Arabidopsis thaliana: one gene and its partner. The protein of the gene in region 1 purifies or fractionates together with the protein of each later gene. This does not show direct contact. Each region holds a gene or a part of one and is shown in the gene's direction. Other genes may lie near its edges.

Region 1 (8,722 bases):
TCAAAGCTCCAGATAGTGAGCCTTCGACCTCTATAAGTAAGGCTGATGCAGGTGTGCAGACCATTCCCGGAGCTGATGCAATATCAGAGGAGAATACAAAAGAGTTTCTGTGCTGTAAATGCAAATGCAGAGAACAATTTGATGCCCAGCAAATGGGTGACATGCCAAATCTTCAGTTAGTACCTGTTGACAACTCGGAAGTGGCAGAAAAATCCAAGAATCAAGTTCCCAAAGTAAGAACTGTGACTTTTTTCTAACATAGATTTAGATAGTTATTCACAGTCTTATTTTGTTTCCACATTTCTATAATTGGTTCCTCCAACTGATCGAGTTTTACACTTTACAGGCAGTAGAAAAGGTTCTAGCAGGTTCTATCAGGAGGGAAATGGCTCTGGAAGAGTTCTGCACTAAACAAGCCTCTGAGATAACCCAACTTAACCGACTGGTATGATACTTGCGTCTTTTTCTGTTTTTAATCTCCCTTAGTAACTGTATCCTCAAACATAAATTGGTCCAAACCGTGTAATAGGTACAACAATACAAACATGAGAGAGAGTGCAATGCCATCATAGGACAAACAAGGGAGGACAAAATTATTCGCCTTGAAAGCCTTATGGATGGCGTATTATCTAAGGAGGATTTCCTTGATGAAGAATTTGCTTCTCTTCTCCATGAACATAAGGTAATTGTGGCTTCTCGTTTTGTAAAAGGGTATTTGATTGCATTACCCTTTTACTGACATGTAATGTTGCAGCTTCTAAAGGACATGTATCAGAATCACCCTGAAGTGCTTAAGACGAAGATTGAGTTGGAAAGAACGCAAGAAGAGGTCGAGAATTTCAAGAACTTTTATGGTGACATGGGAGAACGGGAAGTGTTATTGGAAGAGATTCAGGATTTGAAGTTGCAGCTGCAATGTTACATTGACCCTTCTCTTAAATCAGCTCTGAAAACGTGTACCCTGCTTAAGCTTTCATACCAAGCTCCCCCAGTTAACGCTATTCCTGAGTCACAGGACGAGAGTCTTGAGAAGACATTAGAACAGGAAAGACTTTGTTGGACAGAGGCAGAGACCAAATGGATTTCTCTCTCCGAGGAATTAAGAACTGAGCTTGAAGCCAGTAAGGCGCTGATTAATAAGCAGAAACATGAACTTGAAATTGAGAAAAGATGCGGGGAGGAGTTGAAAGAAGCAATGCAGATGGCCATGGAAGGGCATGCACGGATGCTTGAACAATATGCAGACCTGGAAGAGAAGCATATGCAATTGCTTGCAAGACATAGAAGGATTCAAGACGGAATAGATGATGTCAAAAAGGCAGCTGCAAGAGCTGGAGTCAGAGGAGCAGAGTCCAGATTCATAAATGCACTTGCAGCAGAAATTTCAGCCTTAAAGGTAGAAAAAGAGAAGGAGAGACAATACCTGAGGGATGAGAACAAAAGTCTCCAAACACAACTAAGAGATACAGCTGAAGCCATACAAGCAGCTGGAGAGTTACTTGTTCGGCTTAAAGAAGCCGAAGAGGGATTAACAGTTGCACAGGTACGTTATTACATTTTCTAAACATGTCAGGTCACATCCTTGAATAAGTCTGTTGCTTTTATTATTATGCATGCATGTTCTTACATAAAATCTATGTGGCTTGTGTCAACAGAAACGTGCGATGGATGCAGAGTATGAAGCTGCAGAAGCATATAGACAGATTGACAAGCTGAAGAAGAAACATGAAAACGAAATCAACACACTTAACCAACTCGTCCCACAATCTCATATTCACAATGAATGCTCTACCAAATGTGATCAAGCCGTGGAACCATCAGTAAATGCAAGTAGTGAGCAGCAATGGAGAGATGAGTTTGAGCCGCTTTACAAAAAAGAAACTGAGTTTTCAAATCTTGCTGAGCCTTCTTGGTTTTCGGGTTATGATAGGTGCAACATATAATTCTAATATCTATTTTGTGTGTTTAATGTGTATAAAATGGGTGTCTGATTCTGTGATATAAGTCCAATTTCACTCATAACTTGCAACTCATTATGTACAAATGACGCAAACCTCCTGGATTCGTAGAAGATTAAACCAACCTTCATGCAGATCTCTTAGCTTAGACTGCAATCCTAATTCCCAAACAATTCTACTTTTCATTTTCATGAGCGTGCTCCTTCCTTTATCTCGCACTCTCTATATTCTAGTAACAATATTCATATTTTTGGGTATTACACTAAATAGCAAATTACACTAACGGAACTACGTCTATCAACGTCTTCAACGCCAACTCCACGATCGTGACCTGTCCGGACAAATATGTTCTAAGATTGTCGAAGCCCAACTGCAAAGAAGTCAAAGTTTTTACTTGCCACAACAACGTCAACAACCTTTATTCATGATAGTCTCTGTCAGATTGACACACAAGTTATACAGTGTTGTGCCTTGTATTTCTTCTCCGTCGGCGACAGATTTGGACCAAGAAGAAGAAGAATCGGAGACTTGTGCAATCTGTTTGGAGAATATGTCGAGATCTGAGAATTGTTGCCAGATGCCTTATTGTAAGCATTGCTATCATGAAGGATGTGTCACTAAGTGGGTGATTACACTAAATAGCAAATTACCATTGTACCTAAAAACAACTCTTCCATATCTCAAAAGGGTATAGTCTATGTGTGTTAATTACCATTTTTTACAATCAATTCGTCCTGTTCCATCATCAAAGAGTAAATCTAACTTTTGTGACTTTTGAAACATCTTTGTCACACACTAGACCAACAAGTGAGACCTGAATATACCAAAAACATCACACAAAGACTTCTATAAGATCCATATATAATTTTTTTTGAATCTACCTCTTCTCTACTAATACAAATCTGTCCACAAGTTCTTCATCTACCATTCTTTTCACAGACGCAGACTTTTTCTTATGAATAAAACAAAAGATACAAGAAGAAACGATGTGAAGTAAAACATTACTTCCAGAGACTATTAATAACTCCGTACCGTTCTTCGTTCACCATTTGTTTGGCTCAATTTTCACAAGTTCCGAACCTATGCAATATACAACCAAATGGGAATGTCATACTCATATAGTAGATATTAGACATCTTAAAACAAGACATATGTTGTTGCTTTTTGTTTCGTTTTGCATACAGTTGTTGCTCTGTTGCTGACTATCTCTCGAAACCCATCTGAATAATACTCTGAAGATCGTTTTCCCAGAAGGGCGGCACCTAAAATAACACAACGCACAGCTAAGTAAACTTTCAGAGGAACCAAAACAGTGGAAAAATTTACATAGCAACCCAAAGTATCTTCAACATTAAGTACCTCATCTTGAACAAATTCATCACTTGAATGTAGTTAAGGACTCAACGAGTTCAATTGGAATTGAGTTTGAGTCTCTTATAATCTTGGAATGCTCTTGCCAAGAGAAAAGTACTCTGAAGGAAGTCTTGCCTCTGAGCAAGAAATCGACTGCGTTAACTCTCCCAGCTGCAACATCTACGCATGCAAATATGATATATACTACTCATCGGATACAGAACATTCTACAAGAAGCAGAGCCAGTCTTTGCTATAAATGAATACAGTAACATAAACAGATGTGTTAAAGCGCAAGTACCGCTTGTAGTTGTAGATTAGAACTTAGAAGTAGAGCAACCCGGTTCACCGGTTCAATCCGCAGAATCTTGCTGGTATTTGTGGGTCAATGAACATTCCATTTTAGAATGTACCAGATCCGGTCGGAGTGTCTGGTTTGGTTCGGTTTTGACGCATTTCGTTTCACTTATCCGGTCAATTTGATCGTGATTCAATTTTCCGATCGTTGATCTCTAAATCTCCTTACGATCTCTCCTCTCACGAGTCTCCAAGTCGTCCAAGGTATGCAATTTGTTCACGACCAAGGTTTTAGGGCTTTTGATTTGTCTGATTGATTCCTAGGGATCTAATTTGATTTCCCTTTCTCACATTTTCCAAAAGTTTCAGACTTTCAGTAGATTGGCTTATTTCTCTAAGTGGGTCTCTCAATAATCATGATCTTGTTGTTGCTTCGAGTTGATTACATAGAAACTCTAGTCTCCGGGATCTTGCTGTTACTTGATTGTTATTTTGTTCTCTTCTTATCTTAAACATTTGAGAGTGTTTTGTTTTCTTGTAGACATTTTGATCCTAAAGTTGCTTTCTTATTGACGTTTAGTATAAAAAAGTTGGTAACCTAAATTCTATGAAACTAAAGATGCTTTCTTGTTTATGTTTGGATTATTTTTTCAGCTCATAAAGATTCATCGAGAAGAAAGATAAAATCCTAAGTCTGGTGCAAGTCTCGAGTAGAATAACATCATTTCTAGGACATGGTAAGAACCTTGACTGTAATTCTAATTTTGATTCTTCTCATACTTGACAAAGACTCTTTTTCATTCAAACATGTCCTGTTTAGAAACAATTCTTTTAAACAATGTCTATCGCATACTGATTTACTGCAGAAATTGTTTAAAATTTGCTTCCGATGGGTCTTTGATGTTCCAGGCAAACTCATTACGGCTGTATCTAGCATGCATAAAAAATACACTCGAGGCTGCCATGTGCTTACAGGTACAAATTATTTTTGGTTCATGATATCATGGCATAGGTCTCAAAGTTTCCATCTTTATGGTTAAGTTTGTTTAAGGCAGTTAAAGCTTCATGTTGGCGTTCTATCTCATTCATCCACCTTTGGTCTGTTATTCTCTTGTATTAGTTGTTTACTTTTTGATTAGACATGTTGTACCATCATTCACTTACTTTTTGACGTTTTTCTCGCAATATTTGGTGTCAGAACCTACCGATTTCGTTAAAGTAGGTGAAAGGGGCCATGTGGAGTCTTTGAAAACATTCAGCTTTACATGGTTTATATTCCTGAAAGCTTCTATACTTCTCTACTTGCAGAATTTTCCTTGTCAAGAAGTTGAAAGGCATAATAAACCAGAGGTTGAATTAAAGTATGTAAGCTTCTCACAAGAAGATGCATGTGAGAATGGGGTGCTCTTCTTCCATTTTTATTTCAAGCATAGAATCTTATTATCACCATGTGTTTGCTAAATTTTGTAGGACGAGCCCAGAACTTTTGCTAAATCCTGTAAGAAGTTTACTTGTTTCCCTCCCAGTTTAGCGTTGATATTGCATTGTCTTCTTACCTAGGTTTTGTAGTTGACTGCTAAGTTTTGCAACTTGCAGGTTTTAATATGCCGAAATGAGGCTGAAAAGTGTTTAATAGAAACATCTATAAATTCACTCCGGATAAGCCTCAAGGTAAATGTTCATCTTACCCTAGCTTTTCCTTCAAATACTTCCAGGAAGAGCCCCAGTGGTACACTGTTCAACAAAGGCTTTGTGTTGTTTTACTTTCCTGTTTCTCACCGTTTCCTTTGTTTCTTTCTCCTGAGATAACGTCTTGACGAGTCGTGACTTAGTCTAGACATCTGTCTTGTTCTGCTGTTACAAATATTTGTTATCTTTAATTTGCAGGTCAAGCAAGCGGATGAACTTGAAAACATACTAACCAAAAAATTTCTCAGATTCTTGTCCATGAGGGCAGAAGCTTTTCAAGTACTGAGGAGGAAGCCAGTGCAGGTAGACCTTCTTATTGATTCAACACTTAGGTACTTGTGAGTGCTACTAGGTTTTATCTAGAAGTTGCAATGCATTCCCTCTTTTGTCGAACTTCTATTTTTTTTTAATGGTAAATGCATCACGAATTGATTAAACATAACGCAGACAGTATTCACAAATTCTCCTTAATTTTAGCTTTCTGTGCAGGCATTTTTTAGGTTTAGGATGATAGATAGTCTGTATGTACCACACCTTTCCTTTCTTTTTCCCTTCTATGAATCATGAATCATGAATCATCTCACTGTGCGGAAATGCATTGCCTTGGCTTTAGATGGTTTACTGTTTATTCCCCTGCATTGTGTGAACGATCCATTCCCTTATTCCCTTCAATTGGTTTCTTTGTTGGTGTTTTGAACAGGGCTATGACATAAGCTTTCTTATAACAAACTACCACTGCGAAGAGATGCAGAAACAGAAGCTAATTGATTTCATTATTCAGTTTATGGAGGCAAGTCTCTCTCGAAACCTAATCTTTTTATTCTATGACCTTGGTTGCTCCCATTAGTAGCATCCTAACAATCAATATATGTCTTGGTTGCATCAAACCTAATGTTAGTGATGCATCCTTACGTCGTTGTGTTTCTCACGGAAATAACTTGAGAAGTAGTATTCTGAATAGTTGCCTTAACAAAGGTCATTATATCCGTCTTTGAATTTGAATTGTTTCTACAAGAGTCAACAGAGATTAGTTACTCTGATTATGTCCTCCAACATGCTAATCTCCGCTTAAAATAGATTTGAAACTTGAAGTGTGACTATTTTTTAACCATGGAAATTGCAGGATATAGAGAAAGAAATAAGGGACTTGAAGGAGTCAGTGAATACAAGAGGAAGACTCGTTGCTACGGAGTTCTTGAAACAGTTCATGTAAAGCAGCTCTTGAAGTAGTATAATGTAACCCTTCATTGTATCAATCACTCGTTATTTGGTTAAAATCCATCTACTCTTCATTTTGCTACTTTCTCTGTTATTCTAACACAACCAAAGTACCGAGCCATCGGCTTGGTAATTGTAGTGTATGTAATGCGATACTTATCAAATGTGGTCTGTTGATCGTAGATGTTCGAACGTACAATCCCAGAAACCAAAAAGTTGTTTTATCTTATTCTTACCACCAAAGACCAACAAATTGTTCATCTCTGACAGAACAAAGATCCACAACAAAGGAAAAAACGTCGTCGTTTCTTTTACACCGTAACCCAAAATATGAGTTACTGGGCTGGGCCCATTATTGAAACTAATAATAGGGGAATTTATTAATTTGTTTGATTATTTCCTAAAAGAACGAACGACGCCGTATACACCGAGAAGCTCAACGTTCGTCATCACTCTTCTCGCTTCTCGGCGTCTCCATCGCCGTCTCTATCTAATCTCGTCCTGCGTCGACCTAGTGAGCTACTTCAGATTCCGGCCATCACGCAGCTCCAGGTTAGTTTTTATTTATGTCAAACAACGAATCGGTGTGTTGTGCCTAGAATGGAACTGATTTCTGGGTTTAGATTGAGAATTTCTACGGTTTAGGAAACGTTATTTAGGTCATACGAATCTGTTGTTTGTAGAAGATACGACGAAACAAATCCAGTCACGTGAAACAGAGCTAGTATTGATCTTTAACTCTGCTCTATTATCAAATTGATTGAGTCGATCTGAAATTCACAGATTACCATATTTGCACACTATGTTTTGTGACTAATTTCAGAAGAAAATGTTATTAGAGAGTAGAAAATGGATTCCTCAATGCTTATTGTAGTAGCTACTCTTGTGTTTGTTTTCAGGATTAAGAAAAATGATAACAATGTAGTAGGTTCTCACTCTTGCTTTTTCCTTGCAGTTGTATGCTTTGAGAGTTAATACAAAGATGACAACAATCGAAACCGGTCAGAAAACTCAAAAGTCTTCTCCTTCCGGTTCTGGTACTACCCCTACTGGTACTCTTAAGCAGTCATCAGCATCGTTTAAAAGGTGGGGAAGGAGACACCCGTTTGTAAGATATGGACTTCCGATGATATCTCTCACTGTATTTGGAGCCCTCGGACTCGGCCAACTCCTTCAAGGCAGGTCAGTTCTTTCTTGATTGGAAAACCTCTGAATCTATAAATGTCTGGGGAAATGTCAATGATTCTGTTTAGAATTCACCACATATGGTTTATTTGGTTAGTTCAGTAAGGATATTGCAAAGGTAAAAGATGACCAAGAATGGGAGATTATAGAAACAAGAAAGGCACTTTCGAGAACAGGACCTGTCGATGCCTATAAACCTAAAAACACATCCATTGAAGATGAGCTCAAGGTAACAAAGGATATACGCTCAATTAGACTGCATAAAAGCTTTGATGAAACACTAAAATCTTGACTGGGTTTTGTTTAACGCAGGCTATGCAAGAGAAGGTGGACATAAACACGTACGAGTACAAGAAAATTCCAAAGCTAAACGAAAGCAAGTCGAGTTAAGAAGAGTCTTTGTATAAGATTAGTCTTTTTAGATGTGTTTCAGTTTTAAATGACTCTTCAGTTCACATAATCGCCCAAGTACAAATTCCAGTAAGTTCTGTCTGGGCTTCCTAAAACCAAGAACAACGAGGGACTTGCCAATTGTTGATAATACATGTTGTCGTGTTGATTTACGACGTCCAAATAGATCTGAAAGAGGTTTTATAACCAGTTAGACTTTACATCTTTATACCAATTTCTACACAACTTTATTTTCTAGTAAAATTTCTCATACTTCATAGACATCATTTCTTGCTTCATAGACTTTGAGTTTTAAGAAAAAGATTATACTAAAAAAAATGAAATGATGGAGGGACTGCATTTCCAATTATGATTGGTGTTGAAGAGAACTCTTGAGATATAGGGCTTCTTTGAGCTTCCGACCGAGAGCGAAGGCCAATGGTGGAGGGACTGCATTTCCAATTTGCCTATGTTTGTGTTTTGTCGTCCCTGAAAACTCGTAGCTATCCGGAAACCCCTACATTTTCATAAAACAACACTTTCACTTAAAACTGTTGTATCCATAACCTAACATTACTTAATGTCCAAAACAAAAAGAAATATGTACTCTATTAGTAATGCTAGAGGGCTGAC
Region 2 (6,509 bases), on another chromosome or scaffold:
TATAATAATAAGCCGTTCGGTGAGTGCACTCTTTCTCTCTCACTGTTGTTGTTGTGTATCTGTGCGAGATCTCTCCAACGAAAAAATGGCTTGTAGACTCTTTTGGGCTTCTAGGGTTGCTTCTCATCTAAGGATCTCCGTTGCTCAACGAGGGTTTTCTTCCGGTGAATCTCAATCTCCTTTCTCTTTGTTTGATCTCCTCTGTTGATTACTCTGCGTTTTTGATCTGAGATTGTTCTATTTGAACTTATTGGTTTTTGGTTTGTTCTCGACTTCTGATCGGATTAAAGCGTTTGCTTTTTGCTGGATTGATTGTCTCTGGATATCGCTATTAGCTAATATTTCTCCTTTTCGTATCAAATCCCAGAAATTGCATATGATTTCTCGAGTCTCTCTGTTAATAATGATAATCTTCTTACAAGTGTTCAGAAACTTGGAGGTAGTGAGTGATATGTTCATGTTATACGCATTATTCTCTAAAGTTTTATTCTTGAAGTAGTTTTGGGGAAGATTTTGAAAATCTGTTGTTTTGGGCCTGAAACATGTTGTTTACAGAGAAGGAAGATCTTCAAGAAGTTTTAGGAATGTTGATTATTTTGCCATTTAACCTTACTGATTATATTCTCTTTTGTTGTTGTTGTTGGCATGTGTATTATAGTGGTTTTGAAGGATTTGAAATATGCTGATTCACATGAATGGGTGAAGATTGACGGGAATAAAGCAACCTTTGGTATAACGGATCACGCGCAGGACCATTTAGGAGATGTGGTCTATGTGGAGTTACCTGATGTAGGACATTCGGTGTCACAAGGGAAGAGTTTTGGAGCAGTTGAAAGTGTGAAAGCAACTAGCGATATCAATTCTCCAGTCTCGGGTAAGGTGGTTGAAGTCAATGAGGAGCTGACCGAGTCCCCTGGATTGGTGAGTACTCATCTCAGACTCAGAATCATATTACCATTGACTCCATGTGTTGAACCAAAAAGAACTTCATTGGCATGATCAAATCCGAAATCTTAGTTTTGCGGGTGTCATTTTCATGTGATCTAACAAATTCATTCCTCGGGTAACATTCTTTGCATAAATACTTGATTATTCAACAGCTGTTAAAATGTAAGTGTCTTCAAGATTCGTAGGTCTAGATCAAATTATTTACATAAGTGAGTGTTGGAAAGTTTTAGGCTTTTAGCTGATGTGAAACTCTTGATCTTTGAGAACCAATATAGATTTGATTTATCAATAGCTTGCTTAAATATCGTTAACTTGGAGATTCTTGATTTTGTGGTCTCGAGCTGAGAGATTCTTTTGTTGGAATTCACAGGTGAACTCTAGCCCGTATGAACAAGGATGGATCATAAAAGTTGAGCTGAGTGATGCAGGCGAGGCAGAGAAGCTGATGGATTCAGACAAGTACTCTAAGTTCTGCGAAGAAGAAGACGCCAAGCACTGAGCTTTTTCTATTTTTTCCAGCATCCTTCTCCAAGCTTCCACCGCAACACAGATTGTTGTTTTCTCAATCGAGGATCAAAACGAGATTTCTCCATCTTTGTCCCTTGGACTGAAAATTCCCATCTCTCGTTCTCCTTTTTTCTTTTCATGTTTTTCTTTTAATGAAATGAAATTGTTTGAATAATGGTAGAGAATAATGAGCTTTGGCGTTGAAATTGATTGGATCTTTCATGGAGTTATGCCTTTTTCTTCTTAACTGCAAAAAGTTTCGGACAGTACATCTTCGTGGACCGAAAACCATAACCCTTAGCGGGTTGAACTAGTGCTTAGTGCTTAGCAAGCTCCAACTCCTTTGGAGGGACCAAATCAAATGCTACTGGACCACCATCCATCTATTTATAAACAATTGTACACCGGATTGGTAATGTTCATACTATATAAGATAACATGTTGACAAGAAAAATGCTTCTCTTCAGATGGACCTTACCTCCGTAGGTCTAGGCACGGCAGCAACTACACTTGTAGACTCTTGAATTAATTTGGAGTTCAGTAAAATAACTGCCCAGTCCTGAGATGAAGAAATTGGAATCCAAGATAATAGCCGAGTACAAAGAAGAAGCTAATGGAAGATTCATGCGAATAAAGAATATAGGTTCGGTCATATTGTAGCAACCGTGTGAAAACCGTTTTTTTGTTATTTTCTGGTTCATAGGGACCTCAAAAGATAATGTGAAAGGAAACAAAATCTGTGATGCAATGATATGTGCACAGAGGGAAAAGATTTTGGAATCATTGTTGCTTATTGTGAAGGCCAAGCTTGTTTAGCCACAGTTGTCCAACAAAGTTACAAGATGTGCCTTGTAATACAATATTCCTGCGTTGTCAACCCTACTTTATTATATGAAGTTGTTTTTGTGTGTCATGGTTTCCACTAATTTACTTATTAATTTGATTGTTTGATTGTTTTCTATTAGTAAAAAAGTAATATCAACATTATGATTAAATTCTCAAATCAAATAATTATGTTGAAAAGATGAAATGCTTGGATAGCACTGAGCTTTGGACACGCAACAAAAAGTGAGGGAGGGGCAAATTCATCATCAGAAACGTCAGAAACATTATTTATTAGTCGAATCATACTAAAGTTTAACACAGTAATTCTAAAATAATTGACAATTATTACACCTAAAAGCTACTCCATATGTAGAGATAATGATAATTATATACTACAAGTTAGTATTTGTCGACGTCAATATTGTTCTCTTGGTTAATTGTTTTTAAATATTAAAAATTACCGGTTAAGGGACTTGTTCTCATTTTGTCAAAGCTTCGAAAACTTACATTTCAACCACCCAACTAGAACGTTTGTTCTTTTTCTAACAGAAATTTTCCTTTTAAATACTAAAAATAGTACTTACTACATAATATACCAAATACTTTTTTCTATTTTAGCTATCCTCATTATTGAAATAGATGTCGTAGATTTGAATTTACCTTCTGTTAATGTACATATGATAAAAGAACATTGGTTTGTTATGCTAAAATCTCAATAGTTGGAGCTAATCCTATAGTTTTGCTAAAAAAAACTTGTAATCCAAATAACTACAATCAAACCAAAACAACACATGATTTGAAATATCATTTTTTCTAGTGAAAAAATGTTGTCTTGCACTGCTCAAATTCAAGTAGACAATTCCGATTCAATATAACTAAAAATCTCATATTTTATTAAAATTTTATAAACAATTTATTTTTTGAAAGGGATAAACACTTTCAGCTGTTCAATTGTTCATAATTTTCTTCTACTTACATTGTTTCGTTTCCTATGGAAATGTTTAGATTTACAGGTAAAAAGTAAAAAATGTGCTTGAGCAAGAAAAGAGTAAAAAAAAATAAAAAAATCTGCATTTTAGTTGAAAACGAAAGAAATTCTACTGACTAATTTTGTCTTAAATGAGAGAGACCCGAATTTAGCAACTCTTTATTTCTCGGCTCACACACTCCGATTAAGCCCGACGCTCTCTCTCCTCTTTGTCGTCGTCATCATCGTCTCCGGAGTAGGTTGCAGAAATTCAGATCTGAACTCTCAGACGAAGCTCCGATCTTACTGAGACATTTTTGCTCGATTTGACTTTCGCCTTTAAAGCTTCTCAGGTAACTTTCAATCTTCACGAGACTCTTGCTTGACTTGGTTTTAGCTCCTTGTTTGGTTGCTGGGAAATTGACGAGGGGATATCTATTCTCACTCGTCACTCGTTGTTGAGTATTACTGGGTTTTTGGAAGATGAATGCAAGAGTAGAGAGCTAAGTAAATTATGTTGGACGAGATTGTGTAACGTGATTTTGAAATACATTTTCCTTTATTGTAGAGATTATTGTACTGAATTAATGGCGAATTCTCGTCAATATTATCCATCTCAAGATGAATCAATGTCCCCGACTTCTGTGAGATCAAGGGAATGGGAAGGTCCTTCCAGATGGACTGAGTACTTGGGACCTGAAATGGCTGCATCAGTGTCTTCTACTAGGAGCTCTAAGCAAATTGATGGACATGTTGGTGGTTCCACAAAGGCTTTGAACATACAATGGGTAGTTCAAATGATTGAGGTTGCTGACGGTCTCATGGCTAAAATGTATAGACTGAATCAAATCTTGGAGTATCCTGATCCTGTTGGCCATGTATTCTCTGAAGCATTTTGGAAAGCGGGTGTCTTCCCTAACCATCCACGGATATGCACTTTGCTCTCTAAAAAGTTCCCTGAGCATTTCAGCAAATTGCAACTTGAACGTGTAAGTCATGAGTTCTTTTTTTATTAGACTTACTGTTTGATTTGTTGATCTGATGGTAAATGAAAAAAGATTTATTCTGCAATACTTATGCAGATTGATAAGTTTTCACTGGATAGCTTGCATGATGGTGCTGAACTTCACTTACAGAGCTTAGAGCCATGGATACAGGTAATAAGAAACTATCTATGTAATATGTTGTTGGGTTTACGTTCTGTTGTTGTGAAACTTGTTGTTCGAGAATGGTGAAGCATCTCGGAAGTCCTACATGCTATATAGTCAATCTTTCTATTAGTTTTCTTTGTGTACCTAGTCAATCTTCAATCTTCAGTCTGCTATATAGTCAATATTCAATCTTCTATTCCATCTCACCATTAGTCAGCTTTATATATCTGGGCATGCATATATGATTTACCTAATACATGGTTTTAACTTTTAAAATGTAAACGAGTAGTTATTTGCTAGCCTTCTTTCCTTAGTTCGTGTGTAGCATTTCAGTAAGGGGTGCCTTCATAGTCCTCTCGTCATGCATTTTTCTTTTCTTGAATCAGCTGCTGCTCGACTTGATGGCATTTCGAGAACAGGCACTGCGGCTTATATTGGACCTAAGCAGCACTGTAATTACCTTGCTGGTGAGTCAAAGTCTCTCATCTGCGGAAAGTATTTACTTGCTCTGGGTTGAAACTTTGAGCTTTCTTTTGAACTCGTACCTTAGGTGGAGGTCATGAAATGTTTTGGTACATTAAGTTATTATTTACTTGTCAAAAATGTCTGTGAGGATGAAGATAAAATTGTTGAGTATTCATGATTAGCTCATAACTTAGTTCAGCTTTTTGCAGCCTCATCAGAACTCACTTATTCTGCATGCATTCATGGATCTCTTTTGTGCATTTGTCCGAGTCAATCTCTTCGCAGAGAAGGTATGCTGAGCTTGTTCCTTTTCTTAGTTCTTTGTTTATTTGGATTGATTACACATGTCATGTGAGACATTACATTATTATCAATATGTAAGAGTGTTTATTTTATCAAAGTAGATTCCTAGGAAAATGTTGTTGCAAGTCTACAACCTTCTGCATGCGCTATCAAGAAATGATCGAGACTGTGACTTTTATCACCGGTATGGATGTTTTTTTCCTTGTAGTATCATTTTTAATTTGTATATAATCAATAGACTCTGATATCATATATTAACACTCCTCGTCTTGCATCCAGCTTGGTGCAATTCATAGACTCTTATGATCCCCCATTGAAAGGCTTACAAGAAGATTTGAATTTTGTCAGCCCAAGGATTGGAGAGGTTAATATTTTATTCAAATCACGGGTATCCTACGAGCTAATATTGCAACTGATACAGCAGTACTAACAACGTTACTATTTTCCTAGGTCCTGGAGGCTGTAGGACCCAGTATTTTTCTATCTGCAGATACGAGGAAGTTGAGAAATGAGGGATTTTTAAGCCCATATCATCCTAGATTCCCAGATATACTTACAAATTCTGCTCATCCCATGGTACGAACGGCTAGATTATTATCAACATAAAAGCTTAGGATTCTCAGAATTAGTAGGATGCTATTGTCTTTCCCTTACAACTCTACTTCGATGTATAGTGCTAATATTAGATAATACACTCTTGGTTCCTACAGAGAGCGCAAGATCTTGCAAATGTTACTTCGTACCGAGAGTGGGTGCTTCTTGGATATCTCGTTTGCCCCGACGAGCTTCTTCGTGTTACTAGCATTGATATCGCCCTGGTATGAATCTGTTTTTCATTTTGTTCTCGATTGTGATCTTGATAAAGAAGTTTTTCCTCCAAGGATTCTATCTTGAAAACTATCTTATCTGGTCAATAATAGGTTCTATAAATTTGTTTCACAAATCAGAAATTTTCTGCCTCTCTCTGCCTTTGTTTGTAAAATGTTAAGTGCTTTCATTTTCAGTGTTTGTTTAACTTAAGATTAGTAATGGAGTTAGGTTTTTGATGCTCAAAACAAATCAAGATTGCGTGTAATTCGTGCTGTCTCTAATACTGTCCTGTTGTATTTCAGGTCGTGCTAAAGGAAAACTTAGTCGTGACGTTATTCCGGGATGAGGTGAGTTTATATCAAATGGTCTGCGAAAAAGAGTTTGGTATTGGAATTAGTTTTGCATCAGCTGACTCTATTAATCTAACTATGCAGTACATTCTGTTGCACGAAGACTACCAGTTGTATGTTTTACCCCGAGTGTTAGAATCAAAGAAGATGGCTAAGTCTGGACGGACTAAACAAAAGGAAGCT

What was found. The genes of interacting proteins can lie anywhere in the genome.
Region 2: the proteins of ARPC4 (region 1) and GRL fractionate together in Arabidopsis thaliana (co-fractionation; one study listed by BioGRID). This does not show direct contact.

Annotation. Positions count from the first base shown.
Region 1 is NC_003075.7:8,151,866-8,160,587, reverse strand, and holds ARPC4 (binding protein), read left to right. Parts: upstream 1-3,797; 5' UTR 3,798-3,871; intron 3,872-4,220; exon of another isoform or gene 4,221-4,261; 5' UTR 4,262-4,341; coding exon 4,342-4,344; intron 4,345-4,516; coding exon 4,517-4,582; intron 4,583-4,915; coding exon 4,916-4,968; intron 4,969-5,077; coding exon 5,078-5,105; intron 5,106-5,203; coding exon 5,204-5,278; intron 5,279-5,494; coding exon 5,495-5,599; intron 5,600-5,996; coding exon 5,997-6,090; intron 6,091-6,419; coding exon 6,420-6,526; 3' UTR 6,527-6,781; downstream 6,782-8,722. Other genes in the region: PAKRP1 (phragmoplast-associated kinesin-related protein 1), read left to right, coding at 1-233, 347-445, 530-682, 755-1,543, 1,656-1,943; AT4G14145 (cytochrome C oxidase assembly protein), read left to right, coding at 7,497-7,696, 7,802-7,928, 8,012-8,089; DMT2 (DNA methyltransferase 2), read right to left, coding at 8,457-8,606.
Region 2 is NC_003071.7:14,800,851-14,807,359, reverse strand, and holds the start of GRL (transcription activator), read left to right. Parts: upstream 1-3,509; 5' UTR 3,510-3,600; intron 3,601-3,815; 5' UTR 3,816-3,834; coding exon 3,835-4,236; intron 4,237-4,329; coding exon 4,330-4,404; intron 4,405-4,784; coding exon 4,785-4,865; intron 4,866-5,072; coding exon 5,073-5,153; intron 5,154-5,267; coding exon 5,268-5,350; intron 5,351-5,445; coding exon 5,446-5,530; intron 5,531-5,616; coding exon 5,617-5,742; intron 5,743-5,876; coding exon 5,877-5,984; intron 5,985-6,278; coding exon 6,279-6,509. Other genes in the region: AT2G35120 (Single hybrid motif superfamily protein), read left to right, coding at 86-164, 659-921, 1,319-1,447. UniProt on the Arabidopsis thaliana protein: Involved in regulation of actin and microtubule organization. Part of a WAVE complex that activates the Arp2/3 complex.